Linked DNA regions of Mus musculus. The protein of the gene in region 2 interacts with the protein of the main gene of each other region in a pairwise test. Links are inferred from orthologs where the notes say so. Each region holds a gene or a part of one and is shown on either strand. Other genes may lie near its edges.

What was found.
Region 1: the proteins of Apoa1 (region 2) and Apoc1 interact in a two-hybrid assay, tested with the Homo sapiens proteins (2 studies listed by BioGRID, with this or other methods). The link is inferred for Mus musculus from reciprocal best matches to the Homo sapiens genes APOA1 and APOC1.

What each region holds. Positions count from the first base shown.
Region 1 is NC_000073.6:19,687,955-19,695,834, forward strand, and holds Apoc1 (apolipoprotein C-I precursor), read right to left. Parts: upstream 4,706-7,880; 5' UTR 4,655-4,705; exon of another isoform or gene 4,533-4,654; 5' UTR 4,515-4,532; coding exon 4,457-4,514; intron 4,082-4,456; coding exon 3,934-4,081; intron 1,683-3,933; coding exon 1,622-1,682; 3' UTR 1,526-1,621; downstream 1-1,525. UniProt on the Homo sapiens protein: Inhibitor of lipoprotein binding to the low density lipoprotein (LDL) receptor, LDL receptor-related protein, and very low density lipoprotein (VLDL) receptor.
Region 2 is NC_000075.6:46,225,747-46,232,875, reverse strand, and holds Apoa1 (apolipoprotein A-I preproprotein), read right to left. Parts: upstream 4,247-7,129; 5' UTR 4,140-4,246; intron 3,939-4,139; 5' UTR 3,920-3,938; coding exon 3,877-3,919; intron 3,761-3,876; coding exon 3,607-3,760; intron 3,072-3,606; coding exon 2,474-3,071; 3' UTR 2,407-2,473; downstream 1-2,406. UniProt on the Homo sapiens protein: Participates in the reverse transport of cholesterol from tissues to the liver for excretion by promoting cholesterol efflux from tissues and by acting as a cofactor for the lecithin cholesterol acyltransferase (LCAT).

The DNA.
Region 1 (7,880 bases), on a different chromosome or scaffold from region 2:
AGACCCAGCCTTGAAAATGAGAAAAGAAATGAGATAGGAAAGAATCGCCCAGTGAGGGGCTGGGGGCGTGGCTCAGTGGTAGAGCCCCTGCCTAGAATCCCCCAGTGAGGGGCTGGGGGCGTGGCTCAGTGGTAGAGCCCCTGCCTAGAATCCCCCAGTGAGGGGCTGGGGGCGTGGCTCAGTGGTAGAGTATTTGCCTAGCATGTGCCAGGCCCTGGTTTCTATGCGAACACAGTGCGTTAAGGCAGGCCTAGCGTTAGGTGGTGGCGGGGGCATACTCCTTTAATCCTAGTACTCCGGAGGCGGCAGAGGCATATGGTGTAGGCCAGCCTGGCTTATTGGGGAGTTCTGGGACATCCAGGGCTACCCTGAGAAACCCTGTCTTAATAACTAAACAATAACGAAGAGAAAAGACGACTAGGCCCAGCATGGTGGCACATACCTAGTCACAACCCTTTGGAAACTGAGAAGGCCGCAGCAGGAAGCTCTGGTGTGAGACTTGCCTGGCCTACAAAGCTATTCAGAGCCAATTATTGAAACCCCTTCTCAAAAAAAAAAACAAAAAAACAAAAAAACAAAAAAACCAAAACCAACCAAACAAACAAACAAAAAAACCAAAAAAAAAAAAAAAAACCAAAGCAAACAAATTAAGCAGTTATTGGTTTGAGCAAATATTATTCAACACTGGCACTGTGGTCAGCTGAAACTGGGCAATGGGTATAGACCCACTGGTGACACCAATCTTGGCCCCGTCATCTGGGGGCTCATGGTAACAGCTTCAAGAAGTTAAGTAGTGAGAGCTGGCAAAGCTGCAATGGAGAAGCCAGACTGGAAGGGCATTCTGGAGAAGGGGACATGGTGATCTGTAGGTGACTGGAAGGGCATTCTGGAGAAGGGGACATGGTGATCTGTAGATGAGTACCTCCTTTCTGGTTCCCTCCTATGCCCGTCCTGTCCACCCTGCTTCCTAGTCCTCTGCATCATCCACTTGCAGTTTAATGAGTGTCTACTCTCTGCACTGGAAAGTCCAATCCAGCCTCATCTGGATCACACTAAACAGGAGAGTGCAAGCTATGCATCACTGCAGGCTATGCATTCAACCCTACTCCCTGCCGGCTGACTGGGTGCCTTGCACCAAGAGCTTTCCTGCTTTGAGCCTCAATGTTTGACGTGAATAGGGTTCTCAAGGTTCTTTGGGGAACCGTAACGTGAAAAGTATGCAGACAGGGGTGGGGGGGCCGGAGAGATGTCAAAGCGCTTAAGAGCCCTGGCTGTTGTTCTTCCAGTGGACCCAGGTTCCATTCCCAACACCCACATGGCAGCTCAGGACCTTCTCCAGTTTCAGGAGAAGTAAGGCCTTCTTCTGGCTTCTGTGGGTACTGTACACACGAGGTGCACATAAATGCACATGCAGGCAAAACACCCTCACACATAAAAATACATAAACCAACAACAAGCGAAGGGACACACCCAGTCTCTGCATCATCCCTCAGCCCCCACCCCAGTCCAAAGCACTTCAGGGAGCGTTTGCCTTCTACACGTTTTTTATTGGTCTGTGATGAAGAGGGACCTGGCACATTACGTGGATGTCCTTGATGCTTCGAGGTGGCCCGCCAGGTGCTCAGGAGAACGTGGTCTTCAACTTCTCCTTCACTTTGCCAAATGCCTCTGAGAACCAGGCCCTTTGGAGAGAGACGGGGCCGAGTCAGTGCTTACTGGACCCTCCGAGGGACCTAGAGCTCTGCATCCCATTCCCCTCCGGTTCCTTTCCTTATCTCTCCTCATCCTGTCTGTGGGATGAAAACCCTGGGGTGGGGGTGGGGGTGTCATTGTTTCTGCCTCAGTTCCCTCACACAGACCAGAGAATTTGTGTGGGTGTTTTGGGACAGGGTCTCATGTAGCCCAGGCTAGCCTCAATCTTGATATGTAGCTAAGAATGAAGACCTTGAACTTCCAATCTTACTGCCTGCACCTCCCAAATCAATGGGGTACCGTGGGCTTTGTGCACACAAGGCAAGTACTGAGCCACATCCCCAGCCCAGATCAGAGCATCGTGAAACCAAAACTCAAAGAACTTCATCTTGACCTGGCTTTCAAAGCCAGCCACTGTGTGAGAGGTGGCTAGCAGGTAACTACAGAGAACAAAGGGCAACCTCCTAGCCTAGCCAACTGGCTGCCAGGGTTCCATATGTCTCTCTTTCCCATCACCTGACCCAGGGTCCCATCTGTCTGTCCTTCCCATGGTAGGGTGAAATGTCTGCACTCTAACTAGCTCTGTATCCTGGAACTCAGAGACCTGCCTGCCTCTGCCTCTGGAGTGCTGGGGTTAAAGGCGAGTGCCACCACTGTCTGGCATTTATACATTCCCTTAAAGCTTTATTTTGTTCATGTATTTGTGCTCCAGTGCCTGCAGTTCCAGTAGAGGGGATTGGATCCCTTGGAGCTGGAGTTACAGGGCTGCTGTGAGCTGTGCTGACATAGGTGTGTGTGTGTGTGTGTGTGTGTGTGTGTGTGTGTGTGGTGGGGTAGGGGCACAGGCTGCTGGTCCTCTGCAGGAGCAGCAAGTGCTCTTAACTGAACCCTATGACTGATTTTTAAAAATGTGAGTTCTGCTGGGCAGTGGTGGCGCACGCCTTTGATCCCAGCACTTGGGAGGCAGAGGCGGGTGGATTTCTGAGTTCGAGGCCAGCCTGGTCTACAGAGTGAGTTCCAGGACAGCCAGGGCTATACAGAGAAACCCTGTCTCGAAACAAACAAACAAAAAGATGTGGATTCTGGGATCAACCAGATCCGCACTGGCATTTCCCCTGGTCTTCCCCTGGTTTCCTTCCATCTTCTTATCTTTTTTTTTTTTTTTTTAATCTTGTTTGTTTTTATTTTTCGCTGGGATTAAAAACATGTGCAGCTACACCCCACAAGGCTTGCCATCTCTTGCTTCCCGCCCACCCCTTCTTTAGCCTGTGCTTGCCCAAGCTGTTGCCGCTCACTCTGGCCTGTGTCCTTGGCCCAAGTTCTCCCCCGAGTCTAGAAGGCCATTCTCTCTTATCTACAGATCTTCCCACCCCAGGGCCTTTGCACTTTCCCTCCAAAGGAAACTTCCTTTGCCAAGTTTAGGCCTGGCTGGATATTTGTAATCAAACTCAGACCTCACTTTAAATGAACGATTTGTCTACTTGCCAAACTGGCTAGCCAACCTGTTTACAGCATACCAGGTGTCTCTCAGGTGTCTTCACCTCCTGCTTTTTGTTGTTGTTTTCAATTTGAGGCAGAACCTTGCCTATAGCCCAGGCTGGTCTCAAACTCCTATTTCTGTTCTTTGCTGGGCCCTTTTTTTTGGGGGGTGGTGGTGGTGTTGAGACAGGGTTTCTCTGTGTAGCCCTGGCTTTCCTAGAACTAGCTCCAATCAGGCTGGCCTCAAAGAGATCTGCCTGCCTCTGCCTCATGAATACTGGGATCAAAGGTGTGCGCCACCACTGCCTGGCTAGTTCTTAACCCAGCATGCCCTAATCTCTCTTTGGCCAGTGTAAACTGCAGAGCCCAGGCCTGTACAGCTTCTGCTGTGCCCCTGCCCCAACTCTCCTACATTCTTTCTCTGTCTCGGAGACTCAAGTCATGACCTGTCTCAAGAGTACACAGGGAGGGGTCAGGGTCTGTCCTAACCAGTCAGCCGCCTAGCTTGGCCCTTCACTAGGACTTGGAAACATCTCTAACAGTTGGCTGGGAGTTACACCGCCTGTCTCCACACTACGAGCACTTTGACATCCAGTTCAATGACTTCAGATACAGTTCTATGACTTCAGGGAAAGTGTCAAACACTCTGGTGCAGTTTCCCCATTGTGTCAGTGTGGAACTGTCTGCTAGGGCTTTTACACACGGGCGCGCGCGCACGCACACACACACACACCACCCGCCCGTGCCCTGAAAGGTCCTAACCGGGTCTTGGTCAAAATTTCCTTCTGTTTGATATGTTCAATGGCTGCCCGGGCCTTGTCTTCCAAAGTGTTCCCAAACTCCTTCAGTTTATCCGGTATGCTCTCCAATGTTCCGGACAAATCCGGGGCCGCCTGGGCGGGGGCTGGGCCTGCCGCGAGAGGGTTGCGAGCAAACTCATTAGCATGGGGGAGGGTATTGGACACTTGATTTTACTGCACCTCTCACCTCCTTGTTTTTACGCTCCGCCCCTTCTAGGAAGATTAGCCAATTCCAAAGGGTGGTATCCTAGGTCATTGGTTACTGCGTCTTTTCTGGACAGAGTTGCCTCCTTCAGCACCCACTTTGACACAAAAATAAGGCACCTGGCAGGTGGGATGGGGGACGATGGGAGGGCGGTAGTGGAATGATGACACAGAAAGGGACCTCAGAGCCCTCCTCGAGGGTCTTCTAAGCCTGGGCCGCAGGCACAAGGCCAACTTCACACTTCCAAGCCTCTTTCTTACCTTCCAAGGCTCTTTCTTACCTTCCAAGGTCATGGCTACGACCACAATCAGGACAGGAAGAGCGATGAAGAGCCTCATCCTGGTTGGAGGGGCACCCTGGAGGCAGACGCACGGGTAGCGGGGGACATCGCTAGTATTCACCACCGCCCTCCACCATGATCCCACCACCCCAATCCCTTAGCTGTAGGTAGTGGGGGGACACTTTCCTATGCACTAACCTGGATCTAAGGATCTCTCAGGAGGCCCATGGCGGTGGGAGGATCCTGCACAGAGGTTTAACCGGTTGGGGAGGGGGCGGAGCAAGCTGGTCGCCCTCCCCCTGAGCCTCCCCCTTGTCTCTGTGTCCACCTACTTTTTCTTTTTTCTTTTTTCTCTTTTTTTTTTTTTTACATAGGCTTTTTGGCTGGCCTGGAATTTGTGATGCTCCTGCCTCTGCCTCTCTAGTGAGTTGCTGGGATTACAGGCATGCACCAACACCAACACAACCAGCCCACTCTCTTCTGTCATTCTGGTCGATACTGGGAGGCAGATCCCACATCCAGGCTTTTTATTTAGGCCCAAGGCTCGTCACTGGTCAGCATCCTCACTTCCAAATCTCATTGATCTCCACCCAGCCTTGGCTGCTCTGCCTACTCACTCTCTCTCTGAGGCTGTCCCACCTTAAGGGGGGGGGTCTTACAAACAACTCCCCTCACCCCCATCTCACCCCTAGCTCACACTGCATCCTCAGGTTAGCTCTTCTCTACCTTCTCCTTGACCAGGAGCCTCAGCTCACATTCTGTCCCGGATGCTGCACCCTGGCTCCCTTCACCTCCAATGCCTTTGCATCTGCACACCCTCAGACCTCCTCGGATGCTCTCTGGGATCTTGGCATCCCCTCATCTCCCTTCCTTAGAAGTTGCCTCTTCAGCTAGTCAAAACTGCAAAGAAGCTAAGAGCCTCTTAGCTTGCAGAGCTCCATAGTGTCCCCTAACTGGCACAACCCCCCTTCCCCCGTTTTTAGGTCTTGTGGGGCCTCCTAGGCCCCTGCAGGCCCTAAACTTGCCTCCCTGCCCCCTCCTTCCACAACATCCTTTCTCTCAGGCTAGAGTCCAAGGCCCTTCTCCCCCCCTCCCCCAGAGCTGTCATTGACCGACAGTGACCCCCTGGCAGCTGGTGGCTAAGGGGCCCAGACTCTAGGTTGGCTGGCCTGGTGCCCCTGCAACCCACGTGTCAGTTGGGGCGGGGGTGGGGGTGGGGACGACGACAACAGGGGGATGGTTGTGAAAGGGGTGGAACAGATTCTCGACCCTGGCTGGGTTGCGACATCTCTGGGGCCAACTCGGCGCTAGCTAGCTTCCAGTCCCTGTGGGCACCAGGCCTGACCCTTTTGCTTCTTGAAAGGAGTCCTGCTCAGTCCTCAAGCGCCCATCTGAATAATGTAACAGATTTCCCCCTTACTCTGCCCAGTGCTTGGTGCTTCCAGTGTCATCCTACTCTTAGCAACAAGGGCTTCCTGTGCCACAGGTAGGGTACGGGAAGCACACAGCTAAGGTTCTAAAACTGCTAGTCATTCAGTTCTTTTTTTTTTTTTTTTTTTCCTTCTTGTTTTCCTCTGTGTAGCCCTGGCTGTCCTGGAACTCACTCTGTACAACAGGCTGGCCTCCATGACTTCCTTCACGATCCTAGTTCTGTAATGTCTTTCTGTGGTCCTTGCCCCACCTCCAGGTCTGCCCACAGGGAGGTGGGGTTCCTTCTTCGTTTAGAAGTAAGGCTCTGCTCCTGGTTGTACATCCCTGCATCCCACCATCATTTGTTAGGTAGAGACAGGAAGACCAGGCACAGTCTTGGTTATATAGATTGAGGCCAGCTTGGGCTCCATGAGCTCTGGATTGAAAACCAACAACAAAGTGATGATGATGAGGAGGATGTGGCTCGGTTGGTTGATGACCTGTCCAGCATGCAGGAAACCCTGGATGCCATCTGTATAGCACCACATAAAACTGGGGGTTAGGATCACACATTGTCTACCCAGTACCGAGGACTCGGAGCCAGGAAGACCAGAGTTCAAGGTCATCCTTGGCTCTACAGTGAGTTGGCAAAAGAGTAGCTCTGGGTACACGAGGCCTCGTTTCAAACCAGTGAAAACAAACTCTCTTCTGTAGAATTAACTAAGTTCTCAGATAGGCCTAGTGGCGCGAACCTGTAATTCCAGCCTTTGAAGATGAGGCAGGAGGGTTCAGAGTTCAAGGCCAGCGTGGCTCAAATAACATCACAATAATTCAGGTCTTCAGAGGGAGACATTCCCTCTATACTCTCCCCTCATCTTGATATTTGAGAGTAGTGAGGCTCTGGGGGTGTGCTCCTAGCCCCTGGGCATGAAGTGTGGCTGTCTAGGGCCCTGTCACTAGCCCACCGACCCATCTTCTCATTGGGCCTAATGAGTCATGTGTGGGAGTGGTGCCTGCCTCCAGATAATGCTGAGTTTGATGCCAGGAAAAGCTGCAGGCTCGGGGTGTGCCAGAGGCAGTTGAGTTCTGAAGCCTTGGCCCGACCCAAGACACAGCTCAAGCCCTAGCCTGCCCCTGTTAGTGGGAGCCCTGCTGAGTCCCTGAGAACTGAGGGGGTGGGAGGAGAAGCCAGCCAGGGGCTCTCCAGCTTCCACCATGACCCCTTTGAGTACCAGGACATGGGGAGAATGGTTTTGTGTCCCCAGCCTGAACTCACTCTCCATACACTTGCTGGGAAAGTCAAAAGGCATGCAGCACAGGCAGGGGAGAAAGAATGGGGCTAAGGCCCCATGACCCAGAGGGAGCAAAGATCCAGCTAACTTCAGAGCAAGGGAGAAAGGCTGAGGTTCCAAAAGCCACGTAGAAACCGTAGAAACCGCCAACCAAAGGCCCAGAGCAAAAGAAACCGCGGGAGGGTGAGATAACAGAGGATCAGGAAAACAGGAAGCCAGAAAAGGAAGCCTAGAAGGGAAAAAGAGGAGAGACAAGGCAAGGAGAGGGTGTCAGATAAGACTAGAGCGGAGGAGGAGAGATAAGACAACCAGAAAAGTAAACACCGCCTGGCGACCCTGGTCTCTTACATGTTGATTGATTCAAGGCATAGCTGTGCAGTGGGTGCTTGGGAAGTTGGGAAAAGTAGCCCAACTGACCCACATGAAGTGGTACATGCCTTTCTCAGTTCCTGTAGAGATTGATTTGAAAACAAAGATTCAAATATTCAAGACCAAACTAGGCTAGAGGGAGTGCAAGGAAAATCAGTTGAGATCCTATTTCAGACTAAAAAGAAGGGTGGATATAGCTAAATAGAAGAGCCTGTACTGGGTGCTGGAGAGATGGCTCAGCAGTTAAGAGCACTGACTACTCTTCTATAAGTCCTGAGTTCAATTCCCAGCAACCACATGGTGGCTCACAACCATCTGTAATGGGACCTGACGCCTGAAGACAGCTGCAGTGT
Region 2 (7,129 bases):
GTAACGACAGATTTGCAGTTACAATCTGTGATAAACCTGTCAAGGGCAGGACAACGTGGACGACGTGGCTGGAGTGTAGTATCTGTCTAGCTAGCAGTCTTATGTCATCTCCAGGCTTAAGGTCAGATATGATCACCAACCCCGTGCAGCTGGTTTGCACAGCCCAGGCTGCCTGGCCCCTTTAAACAGGCGGAAAGGAAGGAGGCAGATTGGGAGGGTGGTCGGATAAGTCTCAACCCCACTGCAGTGTAGCGGCTTCCATTTCTTATGAATAAAGTGGGTAGGACCTGCCCCTCCCCTGAAGGTTTGTTGTAGAAATGAAATGGTAGTGTCTAAAAGCATGAGGTGCCGCATGCGCACACCCCTTGTAAACAGTCCTCACTGTGATAGCTAAACTAGGTGACCTTCTAGACTGGAATGGAGACCCAGTGTCCTCAGAATCCCAAAAGGGCTGCTTGCTAAGTTCCTGCCACCCCCAAACACTCACTTCAAAGAGACCCAGTGTCACAAAACAGGTCTTGCACATTATAGAGTAAAAGACTAATGTTCAGAGAGTGCCAGTGGCTGCCCCGGATCAGGAGAAAACACACTGCAGGGCCAGCTTTCCATTTTCCACGTTGCTGGCACCGGAAAAGCCTCTGCCAGGTGTTGGAAGCTCCTTTCCAGACTGCATTGGCACAGCCAGCAGACTGGACTATGTTCTCTCTGGAAATCCAATAGGGGTTTCTCTTCCTGTCCACCAAGAGCCAGAAGTCTCATTGTCCACACCGGGAAACTTTCCTACCCAAACCTGGTTTAATGTCTGCTGTGGCTCTGCATGATTGTGGATTTAAAAACTCACCCCTTCAGCCAGGGGCTCATGAAGATACACCGGGGATGGATGGAGACCACCTGCATACCAACACAGGCATGAAGAGGGGCAGATGAGAGGAAGGCTGTTGGTGTGAGAGTGCTTCTGCAGACATCCTCAACCCTGTGAACATGAGTGCTTGGTTACACTCCATAGCGGGCAAGTCTATACAATGAACAGTCTGGGCTTGGCAGGCAGCTCAGGTGGTAGAGGGCTTGCCTTGCATGCACAGAGCTCTGGGTTTGTCTCAGCACAGAGTAACAGTGGTGGACCATCCTTGAAACCCCCAGCACTTGGGAGATGGGGCAGAAAGATCAGAGCTCATCTGAGTCTAGCCTGGGCTAGTGGAGACACTGTCTCCAAATAAAATAAATACAAACAAGGACTGGCAAGATGGCTTAGCTAGTAGATAAATACAAACAAGAACTGGCAAGATGGCTTAGCTAGTAGAGACGCTCGCTACACTAATCCTGGTGACCTGAGTTTTTGATCTTTGGGACCTATATGGTGGAAAAGAGAACAGATACCTGCAAATTGTCCTCTAATCTCCACACATGTTCTGTGGCACGTGAAAACACACACACACACACTCACACACACACACACTCACACACACACACACACTAAATAAGTCTAATAAAAATTTAAATATTTTATATACCTTTATTTATATTTGTGGGGTGTGTGTGTGTGTGTGTGTCTTCTAAGCACTGAACTCAGGTTCTCAGACTTCCGAAAGTGCCTCTACCTGATAAGCCACCTTACCAGCCCCATGTAATAAAAGGGGTTTTTTTGTTTGTTTGTTTTGTTTTTGTTTTGTTTTAAAATGGAACGGCACATCCTGACCCACCTTTTCTGCAGTGACTAACTTCAGACCTCCCAGCTCAGCTTCCCCAACTGGTGTGGACTTAAAGGCCATCCTTCAGGATTTAGAGATGGATATGAAGGCCTCTCTAGTAAATGTGTGGTCACCAGCATCATGGAGAGGGGTGTTTGTTTGTTTGTTTGTTTTTGTATCCAACTGTCAGGTAGAGTAGCTGCAGCCTTGACCCTTTCAGCACACTGTGTGGGTGCACCGGAGGGAAAGATCAAAGGGAATTGTTTACCGAGATCGGGTTCAGCTCCAGGCTTTTTATTAGCACCCACCCAATAACTCCAATCTTCCTGGCTCCTGAAGGAATCCTGGCTCTAGGGAGTGGAAGAGGCTCCCGTCCTGCACCCTCTGGACCCCACCTGGAAACTCGGCTAGCACAAGAAACCAGCGGTCTCAAAGCCAGTCCTATTGCCAGACACTCTCATCCTGGTTTACAGCACTAGTGTTCTGAGCCTCTGTGGGGCCCTTTTGGGGTTCCTTGTTGCTTTGCCTGGCCATCCATTTCCCTTGGAGCCTTCTTAGGAAGGGATTCTGTCTCATACCCTGAACCAGCCAGGTGCCCAGCTTGAGTGAGCGTTAAGAGCTGAGTAGTCGCGTACAAAGGAATCCCCAGTGCGGCACCATGTTCTCACGTCCCTTGATGTCCCCTTAGCGCCCGCCCTATGTCCCCCAAAGAAAGAAGCTATTCCATTTTGGAAAGGTTTATTGTAAGAAAGCCAATGCGGGGGTGGGGAGTGGAAGCGGGCACCTCACTGGGCAGTCAGAGTCTCGCTGGCCTTGTCGATCACACTCTGGACTTGGGTCTTAAGCGTCTCCAGCATGGGCATCAGACTATGGCGCAGGTCCTCCAGCGCAGGTCTGGCTTTCTCGCCAAGTGTCTTCAGGTGGGTTTTGGCCCTGGTGTGGTACTCGTTCAAGGTAGGGTTGCTCTTGAGCTCAGCCAGGCGCTGGGCCAGGCTCTCGCGCATCTGTTCGCTGTGGGGCGCTAGCTGTGTGCGCAGAGAGTCTACGTGTGTGCGCATGCGGTCGCGAAATTCCTCAGCCACAGGGGACAGTCTCCCTTGCAGCTCCTGCAGCTTCTGGCGCGCGCTCTCCTGCAGCTCGGCGCCCAGAGGCGCCACCTTCTGGCGGTAGAGCTCCACATCCTCTTTCCATTTCTTCTGGAATTCGTCCAGGTAGGGCTGCACCTTCTGTTTCACTTCCTCTAGGTCCTTGTTCATCTCCTGTCTCACCCAATCTGTTTCTTTCTCCAGGTTATCCCAGAAGTCCCGAGTCAATGGGCCCAGCCGTTCCTGCAGCTGACTAACGGTTGAACCCAGAGTGTCCCAGTTTTCCAGGAGATTCAGGCTAGAGGGGGAAGAGAGCGGCTGAGAGACGAGCCCAGGCATCATGCGCTGCCCCTGGTCTGCAGATCCATGCACATGATAGCTGGGTGCCACCTGTCCCCTAATGTGCAGTTGCTATGGTCCTAGTTTCCCCGAACATGCAACCCTCTAACTCACTGCCTTCCCTTTACATTCCTCTGTACACATGGCGGAAGGCACCAAGAACACAGATGTGGTCGGTGCTGGTTACAAGGCCAGTCCCGTTTTTTGTTTTTTGTTTTGTTTTGTTTTGTTTTGGGTGCTGTCTGACCAGTACTGGGGGTTACCAAGGAAAAGGGATTTGGCACTCATAGGCTGAATGAGGGGCTGTGGTTACCCAACAGCCAGATGAATCCCATCCCTAGTCCTCCACTGGAACCTGCCATGGTGCCCAGCTGGTAGGAAAGCCCGTGAAGGGCTAGCCAGCTCAGTTCCAGCATCTTCTCACTGGTCTCTCTGCCCACCCTGGATGGGCAGCCCTTGACCTGCTCCAGGCCCCACGCTAGGTCTTTCCTTACTTCAGCTGTTGGCCCAAGGAGGAGGATTCAAACTGGGACACATAGTCTCTGCCGCTGTCTTTGACCGCATCCACATACACATTAGCGAAATCCTTCACTTTGTCCCATTGGGACTGGGGTTCATCTTGCTGCCATACGTGCCAAGCCTGGCTCCCTGGGGATGGAGGGGAGACCCATGTTAGGTTAGACTCGGAGTCAGGGAAGAGAACAGTGGGAATTCTGTTCTCTGTGCCCAGGAAGGTAGTCCCACGCAGGTCAAGAGGCACCTACCTGTCAGGAAGACCAGAGCCACGGCCAGCACCACAGCTTTCATCCTGAAGGGTGTGGGTGACCTGAAGAAGAAGAAGGAGGAGGAGGGCTGGGCTGAAGGGAGGCATTGTCATGGAAAGGCTCCACACACAATTCAAGCCCATGGAAGCATTGGCTAGAATGGCTAAAGGTGCGAGATATCCACGGTATTGATTTGGACAGTGGAGCATCAACTGGGAGGCGCTATGGAGCCAGAGCCACCGAAGGCAGGTAGCAGCACTTACCTCCCCGGAGCTCTCCGACAGTCTGGGTGTCCAGCTCTTCTTCCCTGGTCTATATATGTGTGTGGGCAGGGGCTGGGCTGGGAGACTGATAAGCTCAGCCTGGCCCTGCCACTGCTTACTTTTGCTGGCGATGTGGAACTTAGAGTTCAAGGATCAGCTCTGTTCCTGAGGCTGGGCAAACAGAGTGGGCAAACAGGAAACTGCGGGGGCTGCCGAGCTGGGATCAAGGGTTCAGGTGGGGGCAGCAGGGGGTGGCTGCAGACTCCAGGGGTCCCCAGGGGTAAGGCAGTTGCACCATCCCGAGGTGTATGTCTTCTTCAAGATAGTCTCATGGAGCCCACTCCTGGACTCCTCTGTGTTGCTAGTGCCCTCTGAGCCTGGAACAAGGGAGGGAGGGAGGAATTGTGGGCTCCTTCACTCACAGCCCCACCCCAAAGTTTTTTTTTTGCTTTCCAAGGGGTTCCCCCTTTCACCTCACCCTGGTCCCCCAGGTTTGGGGATTTGTCTTTCCAGATGCCACATGTTTAGCCAGCCTCCCAACCCTAAATCCAAAAACAACTGAGGTGTCAGCCTGAGTGAGATGCAGACAGGCTCATATCCCCAAGCTGAGGATGAAGACCCCTCTGATGCTTCAGAAGAAATGACAGAGGCCAACATGGAGTTGTTAGCTCCTTCCTTGTCTCCCTCCCTCCTTCCCTCCCTTCCTTTCTTCCTTATCTTAGGTACATGAGCGCTCTGTCTTCAGACACACCAGAAGATGGAATCAGATTCCTTTACAGATGGTTGTGAGCCACCATATGGTTTCTGGGAATTGAACTCAGGACCTCTGGAAGAGCAGCTAGTGGTCTTAAACCGCTGAGCCATCTCTCCAGCCCCAGTTGCCAATGTTTTTGTTATGTGTAGATGCTGTTATTCAGCCTCCCTTCCAGAGAAAACCTCACCATATACCATGACCACTAAAAGGGGTCATGTAGTTCAGTGACGATATGTCTTCCCAGAGTGGTGAGGGCCTAGGCTCACTTGCCAGGATGGGAGAGCTGGGTAGCTGTGTAGAGTGGGCTGAGTACGGTGGCCAGTTTTTGCACTTGGAAGGTCAGAGGGTTGAGAGTTCAAAACCACAGCCTTGCCCATATAGCAAGTTTGAAGTCAGCCTGGGCTATATGAGAATATCTAAAAACAAAACAAAACAAAACAAAACAAACAAACAAACAAAAACCACAGATCATCTCTAAAATCCCATTATGGAAAGTGAGTTTTCAAGCTAAGAGGAACTTTTGAGACCATCTATTTGAGGTTCTACCATGAACTTCCTTCTAGATAAGGGCCTGTTGAGAGTGGAAGGAATTTGCTGTGTCCTTTATCTCTCAGCCTTAGAGGCAAGGATGGACCTTGCGCCCAGGTCTCTGCATTTGGGACCCAGGGCAGGAATGTACTCTGCCCATCTCCCTAGGAAACTCCCCAACTCCCTAGAAACCAGCTTGGAATCTGTCTACCAGTTCAGGGAGTGGCTGGGATTCCAGGCTGCTCCCATCCCAGGAGGCTTTGCAACCAGAGAGAACCTTGGTTCTGGGATCTGCAACTTATTCTCCAGGTGACCCGGACAGGTTACATAACCTCTCCGTCCCTGGGTCTCTTATCTGCTAAGGAAAGATAATGACAGAGCATGCCACAGCTTCCTTATGATCCCAGTCACTGTATGGGAAGCAAAATGGAAAAGATGTGTGTGCACTTACTAAGTCCAGGAACCTGTGCGTGGTGTCTAACATGGCAAATGTGATTAGGGGACTTGAACTCAAGGGTAGCCTGGGATATCCAGAGGGCACAGTAATCACAAGGGTCTCTCAATATGCTAGAGGAGGCAGAAGGGCCAAAACCATGGAGAAACTTGAGAACAGAAATAGAGACCAAGCAATCTGAGTGTGCAGATGAGCCAAGCGGGTTTCGGCTACCCATCCATGGGTGCTGGAAGAGAGAAGAGAAAATGCAGGTTTTCTCTGAATGAAAGAGTTTTCAGACAGAATATCACTCTGACAATCCCATGCTTTTAGCCATGATTTGAGCTTCTGAACTCCAGAGTTTTATTTGTGTTGTGTTGTCTGTGAAGTCTGAACACATTTCAAGCAAAACTGCTGAAAGGTGACCAACAGCAAATGGCAAGTGTTCTGCATCCCAGACTCCTGAGGTCACTGCCACGAACACATTCTGTTACTAGGCCATAGCCTGTGACCCCAGTTGCTGGCAGCAAAAATGGGGTAAGGCAGGTGTCTGGCTTGCAGGTGCTGTGATGCAGGACATCTTTTCCAGGTTGAAACCAGCCCCCGAGGGCTGTGGGAGCACTCAGAGGGAGGTGGCCTCCACAGGAGTAGTTTTTTAGGTCTTTTGGGGGTGGGGTGGGGGTGGGGGTGTCTGTTGGTTTCCAGGATGCTTCCCACAGTCCTATCTTTCTTTCTGGCTCGTTACTGAAACCGTGCTGGCTAATCCTAATTGAACCTAACATTTGCTCCGCAACTCATTTAAAGTAAACTTGAGACACCCCTGTAAGGCTGGACGCCATGTTCACCCCCTTGGTAGTTTGCCTGTCAGAAAAAACGGCAGCTCAGAGATGCTAAGAACATTCTTGCCCCCCAGCTTTGAGACAGTGCCCAAGGGGCTAGGGATCGGGTCCGGCCTCTAGTTCTCTGATGGTGATTTCTTCACTTCCAAAGCCTTTGTACTCTCTCCAGGGACATGGCTTGGGGACTGGAATCCATGACATCACGGTAGACGACTCTGGGACAACCTGACTGAGCAATAAGTGTGCTCCTGTCTTGGTATATAGTCCAGGCTGGTCTCAAACTTGTGGTAATCCTCCTGCCTTGGCTTTCTATGCTAAGGTTATAGGTGTATGCTCCATGCTCCCTCCCCCACACCCCATACTTACTTGCTAGTGACTTACTTTATCAGGAGACATTTGGTTTAAACTAGTCTAAATAGCTACTTACTGTTCTGAA